3 linked regions of the Saccharomyces cerevisiae S288C genome follow. The gene in region 1 interacts genetically with each later gene. Each region holds a gene or a part of one and is shown on either strand. Other genes may lie near its edges.

What was found. A genetic interaction does not mean that the proteins touch.
Region 2: mutations in FUM1 (region 1) and QDR1 together harm fitness more than expected from each alone (negative genetic interaction), as found in Saccharomyces cerevisiae (2 studies listed by BioGRID).
Region 3: mutations in FUM1 (region 1) and ADE17 together harm fitness more than expected from each alone (negative genetic interaction), as found in Saccharomyces cerevisiae (3 studies listed by BioGRID).

The regions. Positions count from the first base shown.
Region 1 is NC_001148.4:45,811-49,473, forward strand, and holds FUM1 (fumarase FUM1), read left to right. Parts: upstream 1-1,525; coding exon 1,526-2,992; downstream 2,993-3,663. Other genes in the region: KEL3 (Kel3p), read right to left, coding at 1-696; YPL261C (uncharacterized protein), read right to left, coding at 3,186-3,494; CUB1 (Cub1p), read left to right, coding at 3,493-3,663. UniProt on the Saccharomyces cerevisiae protein: Catalyzes the reversible stereospecific interconversion of fumarate to L-malate.
Region 2 is NC_001141.2:132,882-136,791, reverse strand, and holds QDR1 (multidrug transporter), read right to left. Parts: upstream 2,376-3,910; coding exon 684-2,375; downstream 1-683. Other genes in the region: RPI1 (Rpi1p), read left to right, coding at 1-138; QDR2 (cation transporter), read right to left, coding at 2,920-3,910. UniProt on the Saccharomyces cerevisiae protein: Multidrug resistance transporter involved in resistance and adaptation to quinidine and ketoconazole.
Region 3 is NC_001145.3:506,819-510,908, reverse strand, and holds ADE17 (bifunctional phosphoribosylaminoimidazolecarboxamide formyltransferase/IMP cyclohydrolase ADE17), read left to right. Parts: upstream 1-1,628; coding exon 1,629-3,407; downstream 3,408-4,090. Other genes in the region: YMR122C (uncharacterized protein), read left to right, coding at 1-208; 60S ribosomal protein eL15 RPL15B, read left to right, coding at 561-1,175; putative ubiquitin-protein ligase ASI1, read right to left, coding at 3,702-4,090. UniProt on the Saccharomyces cerevisiae protein: Bifunctional enzyme that catalyzes the last two steps of purine biosynthesis.

The sequences.
Region 1 (3,663 bases):
AAAACACCACAAATCATTTAGGTAAGAAGTTTGACCATTCCCCAAATCTCTAAATCCACCAAATAATATGAAATAGTTTTTCCAAGCAATAATTCTATGACCTGATCTGGCGCTGGGTGAAGAGTCTCTACCGCCAAACTCCAACTTAGTGAATTTCCTTTCAACGCAGTCAAACAGCCATGTATCAGAATAGTGGTAGAATTTAGATTGTTTTGGGGACGAAAATTCACCACCGTGTAACAGTGCTATTCCGGAAGGATGCACAGCGACAGCGGCACTGGATCTGGGCAAAGGTGCATTTTGCGAAACGTATTTTTTCCAAGAGTTGTTCTTTATGGAGTATGAATACAAATCATTATAGAAATGTGTTAGTTTGGTTTCTGGATCTGTAAATTCACCACCGAAAATGAACAATTCATGTTTATTGTGTTGCGGATTTGCAAACATCAACGGATGAGTACGACAAGAGGGTTTTTCCACAGAAGTGATGTCTACATGCTCTAATTCAATTTGCTTTTTGCTAAAGCTAGAGAGAATTTCATCGAGATCTTGATCACTTTCATCATCTTCTTCGCCGTTTAAAGACTTATTCTTGTTCTTCTGAAACTTTTTCTCCTGCTTTTTTTGGTTTTTCTGATTCTTCAGTTCAGCACGTGCCTTTTTGGCCTCTTTATCCTTCTTATTCTTCTTTGCCATTAATCACTTCTACGAGTCTAGTAGATCTCTTCTCCTTCCTATAAGTGGTTAATGTATTCTTCGAGAAGCTCATCATTTTTTTTTTTCATTTTTTTTTTTTTTTTCAGTTTTCTACAATTTCATCAAATCAATGGTTAAACCGGGCAGAAAAACTACCAAGCGTTACTTTTACTGATGTTAGTACTACTACCGCAGTTATTGCGACTACTACATTAACTATAACTATACAAGAAAAAAAGTAAAGAGGGCTCGTAAAGCAAAGCTTGGTATCTCCTACATAGTCAATACATAGTAGTGAGTCGCCTATAGCCATTCTGTAATGCCATTTGTTAAGACGTGTCCTTAAACCCTTCCGAATCGCCGCGGGCGACATCATAATGTCAGTACCTAATAATGGTTATTATTCGTACCCTGTGGTTAGAGAGCTATGGAAGCTAGCAGTAAATGTCTCTAGTTCTTGCTATCACTACCATATTGGAGAGGCTTCAGGCCCCTCCCCTGAGCCGATCCTCGGAATGACTACCCCGATTCCCGGAATGGGCGTTCGATGATTGGCTCTTTCCTGTAAAGCCTTTTTGCGTTTCTTATAGGCTATATATAATCTTCATCACTGTTGTAGACGTTAAACAAGCATCCAACAGGAGGCCGGACCGAACACACGGGGGAGTGACTCTAGCTCTTTCTTCTGGGATATTCATATCGTTTCTCCATTACATACAGTCATTTTTTTGCATTTTTAAATTCGTGACTTTTAGTACTGCAGCTGTTTTTTTTCTCACGTCAAGAAATTCCATAAAGTCTAACTATTAAACGGATAAGAGATACAATCATGTTGAGATTTACCAATTGTAGTTGCAAGACTTTCGTAAAATCGTCATATAAGCTTAATATAAGAAGAATGAACTCCTCGTTCAGAACTGAAACCGATGCATTTGGTGAGATACACGTGCCTGCTGATAAGTACTGGGGTGCCCAAACTCAAAGATCCTTTCAAAACTTCAAGATTGGTGGCGCTCGTGAAAGAATGCCATTGCCTTTGGTGCATGCATTTGGTGTTTTGAAGAAATCTGCCGCGATTGTGAATGAGTCTCTGGGGGGATTGGATCCCAAGATCTCCAAGGCTATTCAACAGGCCGCTGACGAAGTGGCTTCTGGTAAGCTAGACGACCACTTTCCATTGGTTGTTTTCCAAACGGGTTCCGGTACCCAGTCTAACATGAATGCTAATGAAGTTATTTCCAATCGTGCCATTGAGATCCTAGGAGGCAAGATTGGATCTAAACAAGTCCATCCAAACAATCATTGCAACCAATCTCAATCATCCAATGATACTTTCCCCACTGTCATGCATATCGCTGCCAGTTTGCAAATTCAAAACGAGTTGATACCTGAGTTGACCAATTTAAAGAACGCCCTTGAAGCCAAATCCAAGGAATTTGACCATATTGTGAAGATCGGTAGAACACACTTGCAAGATGCCACGCCTTTGACACTAGGTCAAGAGTTTTCCGGTTACGTGCAACAAGTTGAGAACGGTATCCAAAGAGTGGCACATTCTTTGAAAACATTGAGTTTCCTGGCACAAGGTGGTACTGCCGTTGGTACAGGGTTGAACACCAAGCCCGGATTCGATGTCAAGATAGCCGAGCAAATTTCCAAAGAAACTGGACTAAAGTTTCAAACCGCCCCTAATAAGTTCGAGGCTTTGGCTGCTCACGACGCCATTGTCGAATGTAGCGGTGCTCTAAACACCCTTGCTTGTTCTCTTTTCAAAATAGCGCAAGATATAAGATACTTAGGGTCCGGGCCACGTTGCGGCTACCATGAACTAATGCTGCCAGAGAATGAACCAGGTTCCTCAATCATGCCTGGTAAAGTTAACCCAACCCAAAACGAGGCATTGACTCAAGTGTGTGTGCAAGTCATGGGTAACAATGCAGCTATCACGTTTGCCGGCTCTCAAGGTCAATTCGAGTTAAATGTCTTCAAGCCAGTCATGATCGCCAATCTATTGAATTCGATCAGGTTAATTACTGATGCCGCATATTCATTTAGAGTGCACTGTGTTGAAGGTATCAAAGCCAATGAGCCTCGTATTCATGAGTTGTTGACTAAATCTTTAATGTTAGTCACCGCTTTGAACCCTAAGATCGGTTATGATGCCGCTTCCAAGGTCGCCAAGAATGCTCATAAGAAGGGCATTACCTTGAAGGAAAGTGCATTGGAATTGGGTGTATTGACTGAAAAGGAATTTGATGAATGGGTTGTTCCTGAACACATGCTAGGTCCTAAATAAACGAGCTAAATACCTAATAATATACAAGTTTTTTATGTCTTATTATATGAAGGAAAATAAGGAAGTGGAGAGAATTTGTGATTCAGCAATGGTCCCTCCGCTAAGGTCCCGCCTCTGGCCAGTTATGTCAGAAGAGGAGCATAGGCATACATTCCATTTTTGATGGCTTAATGGGGCCCATAAATTTACATCACTACATTATTATTCCTATACAAGTTATAATAAAATAGTTCATAAATGAATATTTTGCGTCATTTTTTAATTTCTTGTCGTCGGGTAAGGGACCTAGTATTACCCGCATCACGGAAAGGGGAATTTTCAGAAATGATAACGAATAAGAGAGTACACCAGAAGAGCAAATCTCTTTAAGAAGTTTAGCAGCAAATATCGGTTTAAAAACAAACAAAAGCAAAGGAAAAGAACTACTAAATCTTCGAGGACTTTCCCAATTTTTAAAACGCTGAAATTGTATTAGAAGAGAATAACTGTCTAAAAAGAGCATGTTTGCATCCGCTGGACAACAACACCCTCAAATTGTTCCTAAGGAAGAGGAATCCATATTAAACTACCTCCTTGAAGTGAGATCCTCCTTGGCTAAACTCAAGCAAAATAGGACCCAGTATTTGAACTCTAAGGATGTCCAAACTACTTACCAACACGTCTTGACCAAA
Region 2 (3,910 bases), on another chromosome or scaffold:
ACTATTGAAAATTTAAAGGAACAAGTAAACTGCTTAAAAAATGAAGTTAAGCAATTAAACCATAAATTTTACCAACAAAATAAACCGTTGCATAATATGTCAACTTCAGACTCAGAAAATTTTATGCAACAACATTAAAGTATGTATCGGGAAGTCTCCACCATAAATTTTCTACCCCTTTAATTCTAGCACATTCCCTGTTTCCCTTCACCCTCATCAATAATTTTCAATTCGTCGTTTCACCTTTTAATTAATTTTAAATGCTCATTTCATTTCTGTTTTAAATTTTATGTCTGTTTTGTATGCTATTTCATTTTTCATTTACTTCTCCAGGGAAACAAGACAATATTACTTATATATACATTTATATTTATGCCCATTCAACATCCGATTTTTTTCTATAAAATAAGTGAAAAAAATAATGAAACTTAACGAATCTGTCACCAAGAAATGTCCTTATTGTTCATTTTGGATTTTCTCAAGTTTTATCTTTGGTTGAAGCAGTTTATGTTTTGTTTACTTGGACAGCCAAAAAGAGAAAAAGAAGGTGAAAATTTTTTATGTGATCTCTTCAAAGAAATTTTAGATACTTTAAATGATGCCGTACGTCTTTGTTATAAAATATAGATATCTGTTTCTGGAAAGTGGGGGCAGAGACTTTTTAGTTTTACGACTTTTTTTCTTCACGTCGAAACTTTTTCTGAATTTTTACCAACTGACCTTCCAGCCGACTTATCATTTGCCCTAATCCTATCGAACGATAGTTGTTTCCCATTCTTCAGGAGATAGAATAATAAAAGCGATGAAGATGAAGTTATAGCACTCAAAAACGTAAAAACACCTCCATATCTCATCTTCTCGACCATCTTGGTCAGTGCTGCAATGAAAATTGCGGATAGGAGACATCTAAATAAATTTAAGCAACCTGTTGCGGTAGAAGCCTTAGACGGAAAGAGATCTACTATCAAAGTAGTAGAGAAGGTCAAAATACAGTTTGAAAATAAACTTGCAAATGCACTTGTGCATAATACAGCAGCAAGCGGTGTTTTCACCGAAATACACCATCCAAAGGCAGTAAAGCCAATGCTACTGAGAAGAAGTGTCACAAATGCTGGATGCAACCTTGCCTCCACTAAATTGAATGCATAATGAGAATTAGAGTGAATAAGTTCTGCTACCTTGTTTTTATCACCTTTATATTTCTCCATCAGCTGTAATTCTTGTTCTTTAATCCATCTGTTGTATTTAACCTTTCTTGTTCTGTAGCTCCAATTTAAGTACCGACCAGCAGAGATAATACTTGTCAGTGTCGAGATTCCTGCAGGTAAAAAGCACAGGCCTATTTTTGCAACAGATAGATTGTACTTTTTACTCAATACAATTGTTAAGGCTGTTTGATGAGTGGTCCACGTGGAAAATTGCAGGCCGGCAATGGACAATAAAATGTCTATTTCTCGTATGTGCAAAATTTTTAAAGGTGCTAAAAAATCCACGCTAGTACGTGGTTCTAAGGTCTCAGGGTCAGGATCGTCTAAATGTAATGTTTTTTTTACGGAACCAACATGCAATATCAAAGACCTATTCAAAAATGACCTTGGTGTTACGGAGCCGTTTCCCACCAAAGTTCTTTTTGTCTCTGGCATCAATAAGGTTGAAAAAACTAGACAAATTCCGGAACCAATAGCCAAAAACCAAAAAATTGCCCTCCAACCCCATTTCGAGGATAATCCGGCACCAATCAATGCACCGAATGCAGTTCCAACAACTTGGAACCCTGCAACCAATCCAACATATCCACCCCTCTCTACTTTTGTCGTTACATCTCCCATTATTCCGCTATTTATTGCAATAACAGGAGAAATACCTGCTGCCTGTAAACACCTTAAAGCCAGGATTTGGGCGTAATTATGTGCACATGCCAGTCCGATGCAGGCACAGAAGTAGGCTAAGATTGCCCATAATACAATAGGCCGCCTTCCAAATGTATCAGCTAAACCACCCATAATTGAAGGAGCCACCCCTTGGAAAATAAAATAAACCACAATAGTGACATTAGCTAACTCTTCTGTGATGTTAAATTTCCTCTCAATAATAGTAAGCACTGGATAGTAGATAGACCCTGCCACGGTTGAAAAAAAGCCTGTGAAGGCACACTGAACGACAAGAAGCATTTTTTGCTTATGGCTGAACCTTGAATAAGGCACCATATCAAAATTTGATTCGTTATCTATTTCAGAATGAGAATTAGATCTTTCTGCGTCGTTGTCACTGATGGCATCTGAGCTGGATCTGTCCACATTATTATTATCAGATCCTTCACGTTCTTCCTTGGCTATAGATGCGTTACGCATTACAGAAGTTTGTTGTTTGGTCATGATTTACTTATAGAAGTCTCTTCATGAGCTATCTGTTATTTTTTTATTAATAGAAGATGGTAGTGCTAAGAGATTATCACTTTTTTTAAGCAAGAATAAGTTCCTTTGAACGCTGATTGCTTGCTTACTTTTTTTGTTGTAAGAAGATTTTTTTGCTACAGTGATAGAGATTCTTCAAACCTTTCAGCTTCACCATGGTTTTATCAACTAGAAGAAACTCCAAGATCAGAAGATGAGATAAAGGGTCCGTTAACAACCGGGCCAGAAACATGAAACCCGAATCTCCGAATTTCGCACCTCCAGCATATTTTCGGCCTTGGCAAAAAATGGCGGAGAATAATAAAGGCAAAACTCAGTACTAGCCGTTCTATGTTAGTGAATCGTGCTGCTAACTCTAATTTTAGTTATTACAGAGTTCAGATTAAAAAAAAAAAAATACTTACTATTACTTTCTATTTGAGAAGACTTATCACACCAATTCCTCTTTCTCGGTAGTGGAGCGATCAAAAGGAACATTTTCCTTTGATTCAAGAAGCTTTACTTCTTAATTTACTCCCAGTTCTTGCTTTTTCCTCTTAAAGGCTAATTCTTTACCTTTTCTCAAGAGAATAAATAAGAGGATCGATGACGAGGAGGTTAAAGCCCCCAAAAATGTAAAAACACCTCCGAATTTCATTTTTTCTACCATTTTACTCAATGCAGCTATAAACACAGCAGATAGAATGCATCTGAAAAGGTTTAAACATCCCGTAGCCGTAGATGTCTTCGTGGGAAAAAGATCAACTATTAGAGTTGTTGAAAAAGTCAAAATGCAATTGGAAAACAGCGACGCAAATCCACTCATGCAAAGAACGGCCGCTAAAGGGGCTTTGACAGTAATGCACCATCCGTACGCACAAAATCCGCTACTGCTTAAAAGCAAGGTAACAAATGCGGGTTGCAACCTCGCCTTGAAGATATTAAAGGTGTATTTGGGATCATTTTCTATGATACGTTGCACCAAATTAAGGTCGTTGTCGTGTTCTTCTAAAAGCTTTGATCTCTTCTTGCCCAACCAATTTTGGTAATATTTTAATCTGCGCCTGTAATTCCAATTCAAATATCTTCCAGCAATGACAATACTACATAATGTGCAGATACCGGAGGGAAGGTAGCATAATCCTACCTTTGCAACAGTCAAGTGATATTGTTTACTCAAAGCTGTGGATAACGCCGTAAGGTGCGTAGTATACATGGCAAATTGTAATCCAGCGACTAGCATAAGTATACAAATTTCATAAGCTTTCAAAATCTTGAAGGGCGCCAGTAGATTTAGTTGCGTGGGCAGTTCCAATGTTTCGTAATCTGGATTATCCAAATGCAATGATTTTCTTACTGTTGGCAAAACAAGAATGGGAGCTCTATTTAAGTATGATTTTGGGGTGACAGAACCATTCCCGGATATGTTCCTCTTTGTTTCTGGCAAAATTAAAAACGAGGCTAGGAAGCAAATGCCAGATCCAATTGCTAAGAACCAAAAGATGGCTCTCCATCCC
Region 3 (4,090 bases), on another chromosome or scaffold:
CATTACGGTGGCTCGCAGGGATAGATTGGGCGTACTGGTTTGTGGCAAAAACACCGCCTCCACGCTACCTTATTTGCCAGCCAACCGCATATTCAGGTTGCCAAAGGTACAGATCAGGAAAATGTTTCCCATTGGATGCGCAACTTTCCTTAGTAGGGAATATATAATCACTGCATTGCTGGTTTCGTACTGCCATCTTTGCGTTTAAAGTATAACCAAATTAATAAAGCGACTACGCCGCTATCCAAAACAGGCTCCTCCAGCTCCTTTAAGGAAACAAACGTCTTTTTTCTTTACTCTTATTTTTTGCACCGATTGCTAGAATACTTCTCCAATCTCTTCAAATGATGATACAAACATGTAGTCAGTAGAGATGTATCTGTCTTGATGCTCCATATGTCGTTACCCGGAAAACATCTTTCTTGTTCCTTTCGATACTTTTCCACGTTTTCAATTAACCGGAGCCATTGATAATTTCATTCACTCTTGAGAAGTTAGCGGCAATAGTAATCGGCGAAAGCTACCGTAAAGACAGTCACAAATTACCTACCACACAAGCAATGGGAGCCTACAAATATTTAGAAGAATTAGAAAGAAAGAAGCAATCTGATGTTTTGAGATTCTTGCAAAGAGTCAGGGTCTGGGAATACAGACAAAAAAATGTCATTCACAGAGCCGCTAGACCAACTAGACCAGACAAGGCTAGGAGACTAGGCTACAAAGCCAAGCAAGGTTTCGTTATCTACCGTGTCAGGGTTAGACGCGGTAACAGAAAGAGACCTGTTCCAAAGGGTGCTACTTACGGTAAGCCAACTAACCAAGGTGTCAATGAATTGAAATACCAAAGATCCTTGAGAGCTACCGCTGAAGAAAGAGTTGGCCGTCGTGCTGCTAACTTGAGAGTCTTGAACTCCTACTGGGTCAACCAAGACTCTACTTACAAGTACTTCGAAGTTATATTGGTTGATCCTCAACACAAGGCTATCAGAAGAGATGCTCGGTACAACTGGATCTGCAATCCCGTCCATAAGCATCGTGAAGCTAGAGGCTTGACTGCCACCGGTAAGAAATCCAGGGGTATCAACAAGGGACACAAATTCAACAACACCAAGGCCGGCAGAAGAAAGACCTGGAAAAGACAAAATACTCTGTCGTTATGGAGGTATAGAAAATGAAATAGTTAGAACCGTATATAGATCAATAATAATGCACTATGAACATTTTTTCAACCTGATTACTTCATCGTTCCTTTTCTTCGACTTATTTTTTTTTTATTATTCTTCGCTCTTTGGCAGCATACGCAATTTGAATTTGCAGTTTTTGACTCTTTTTTCCTTAGCGGAACGAACAATATTAATCATGCCAACTAAGTCATTGCAGAAGTCAACTTATCATTTATAAAGAAGATCCTACCCTACAATGTGTGTACCCTGATGTGCCCAGAAATGAATTGACTCCTCTCATAACTTGTTAATATTCGGATGTGCATATCACGTTCGGATCTATGTATATAAATGTACGCTCGTTTTAACCTTTAGTGTAGTACCTAAAATCTTTCTTACCAGCAACTAATAGCCCTTGAAGTAGTTTTGCTAGCTTGGACATCAAAGCACATATCACCATCAAATATGGCCAATTACACAAAAACCGCAATCCTATCCGTCTATGACAAGACAGGTCTACTTGATTTAGCCAGAGGCCTCATCGAGAAGAACGTTCGTATTCTCGCCTCCGGTGGTACTGCTCGTATGATTCGTGACGCTGGTTTTCCAATCGAAGACGTTTCTGCTATCACACATGCCCCAGAAATGTTGGGAGGTAGAGTGAAAACTTTACATCCTGCCGTTCATGGTGGTATCCTTGCTAGGGACATCGATAGCGATGAGAAAGACTTGAAGGAACAGCACATTGAAAAAGTCGATTATGTCGTTTGTAACCTATACCCATTCAAAGAAACTGTTGCTAAGGTGGGTGTGACTATTCCAGAAGCAGTAGAAGAAATTGATATTGGTGGTGTTACTCTATTAAGAGCAGCTGCTAAGAACCATGCTAGAGTCACTATTTTATCTGATCCAAAGGACTACTCCGAATTTTTAAGTGAATTATCCAGTAATGGTGAAATCTCTCAAGATTTGAGAAACAGATTGGCATTAAAGGCTTTCGAACACACTGCCGATTATGATGCTGCAATTTCAGATTTCTTCAGGAAACAATACTCTGAAGGTCAAGCTCAAATTACTCTACGTTATGGTGCCAATCCACACCAAAAGCCGGCTCAAGCTTACGTCAGTCAACAAGACAGTTTACCTTTCAAAGTCCTATGTGGTTCACCAGGTTACATTAATTTGTTGGATGCTCTAAATTCCTGGCCCCTGGTTAAGGAATTATCCGCCTCGTTGAATTTACCAGCAGCAGCATCGTTCAAGCATGTATCACCAGCTGGTGCCGCTGTGGGTATCCCATTGTCTGATGTTGAAAAGCAAGTTTATTTTGTTGCCGACATTGAAAACTTATCTCCCCTGGCATGTGCCTATGCTAGGGCCCGTGGTGCTGATAGAATGTCTTCCTTTGGTGATTGGATTGCTCTTTCCAACATAGTTGATGTTCCAACAGCTAAGATCATATCTAGAGAAGTTTCTGATGGTGTTATTGCCCCAGGTTATGAGCCTGAGGCGTTGGCCATTCTATCCAAGAAGAAGGGAGGTAAGTACTGCATATTACAAATTGATCCAAACTATGTTCCAGAAGCTGTCGAAAGAAGACAAGTATACGGTGTGACTTTGGAACAAAAGAGAAACGATGCCATAATCAATCAATCAACTTTCAAAGAAATTGTTTCTCAAAATAAAAATCTCACTGAACAAGCCATAATTGATTTAACGGTTGCCACCATTGCTATTAAATATACTCAATCTAATTCCGTATGTTATGCTAGAAATGGTATGGTTGTCGGATTGGGTGCAGGTCAACAATCTAGAATCCATTGTACAAGATTAGCTGGTGATAAGGCTGATAATTGGTGGTTCAGACAACACCCTAGAGTTTTGGAGATTAAATGGGCTAAAGGCGTCAAGAGACCAGAAAAATCTAATGCTATCGATTTATTCGTAACCGGCCAAATTCCAACAGAAGAACCAGAATTGTCTGAATACCAATCGAAGTTCGAGGAGATTCCAAAACCATTTACTCCAGAAGAAAGAAAGGAATGGTTGAGTAAATTAACCAACGTTTCTTTGTCATCGGATGCATTTTTCCCATTCCCAGACAATGTTTACAGAGCAGTTAAATCCGGTGTCAAATACATTGCCGCTCCATCTGGTTCTGTCATGGACAAGGTTGTATTTTCAGCTGCCGATTCATTCGATTTGGTTTACGTAGAGAACCCAATCCGTTTGTTCCACCATTAGATGGCATGAGTTCAGAGTCAATATGCCATAAATACAGAAATGACGGCAAATCGATGTATAGTTTATTCTTTCCTCCTCTAATGATATAATCGCCACTGACACTTTTATATATATACTAATGATACGATATGTTATAAGTACAATTTTAATTCGAACATTTCCCAAAGAAAAAAAACTTGATTTATTATTATGATGTTTATATGTGCAACACAGAAAGCTCTAGCTATAGTAATTAATGCTAGAGCTCCCAAACGAAAAACCTCTTTTAGATACCATGCAAAAGTTCTTAAACTATTATTTACTATCTGAAACAGGATGAACCTTACAGTACCCATGAACTTTACTCCTACAACATACGCAAGTGCTGAACCCACGTAAACCCAAAGAAATTCTGCAATCCTCGCAAATGGCAAAACATCGGCAGGGCCATAATACTGTATTTCTTTCATTGACTTTGCATACCGCGCAAGATAGATCAAAATCACTTTCTGTACCAAAAGTCTCATCTACTTCACTTAACTTTGTATCTAAGATAGACGCCCTTGTCAAAGTTTTATCTGACAGTAATTTTTGTTGAAGGATACGGCTAGTTGACATGATCCAATTATAATCAGTATGAACTTCATTATCTTCGGAAGAAAATAAATCCAGTAGGGCATCCCGAGTTTCGTTGAAAATCAGTG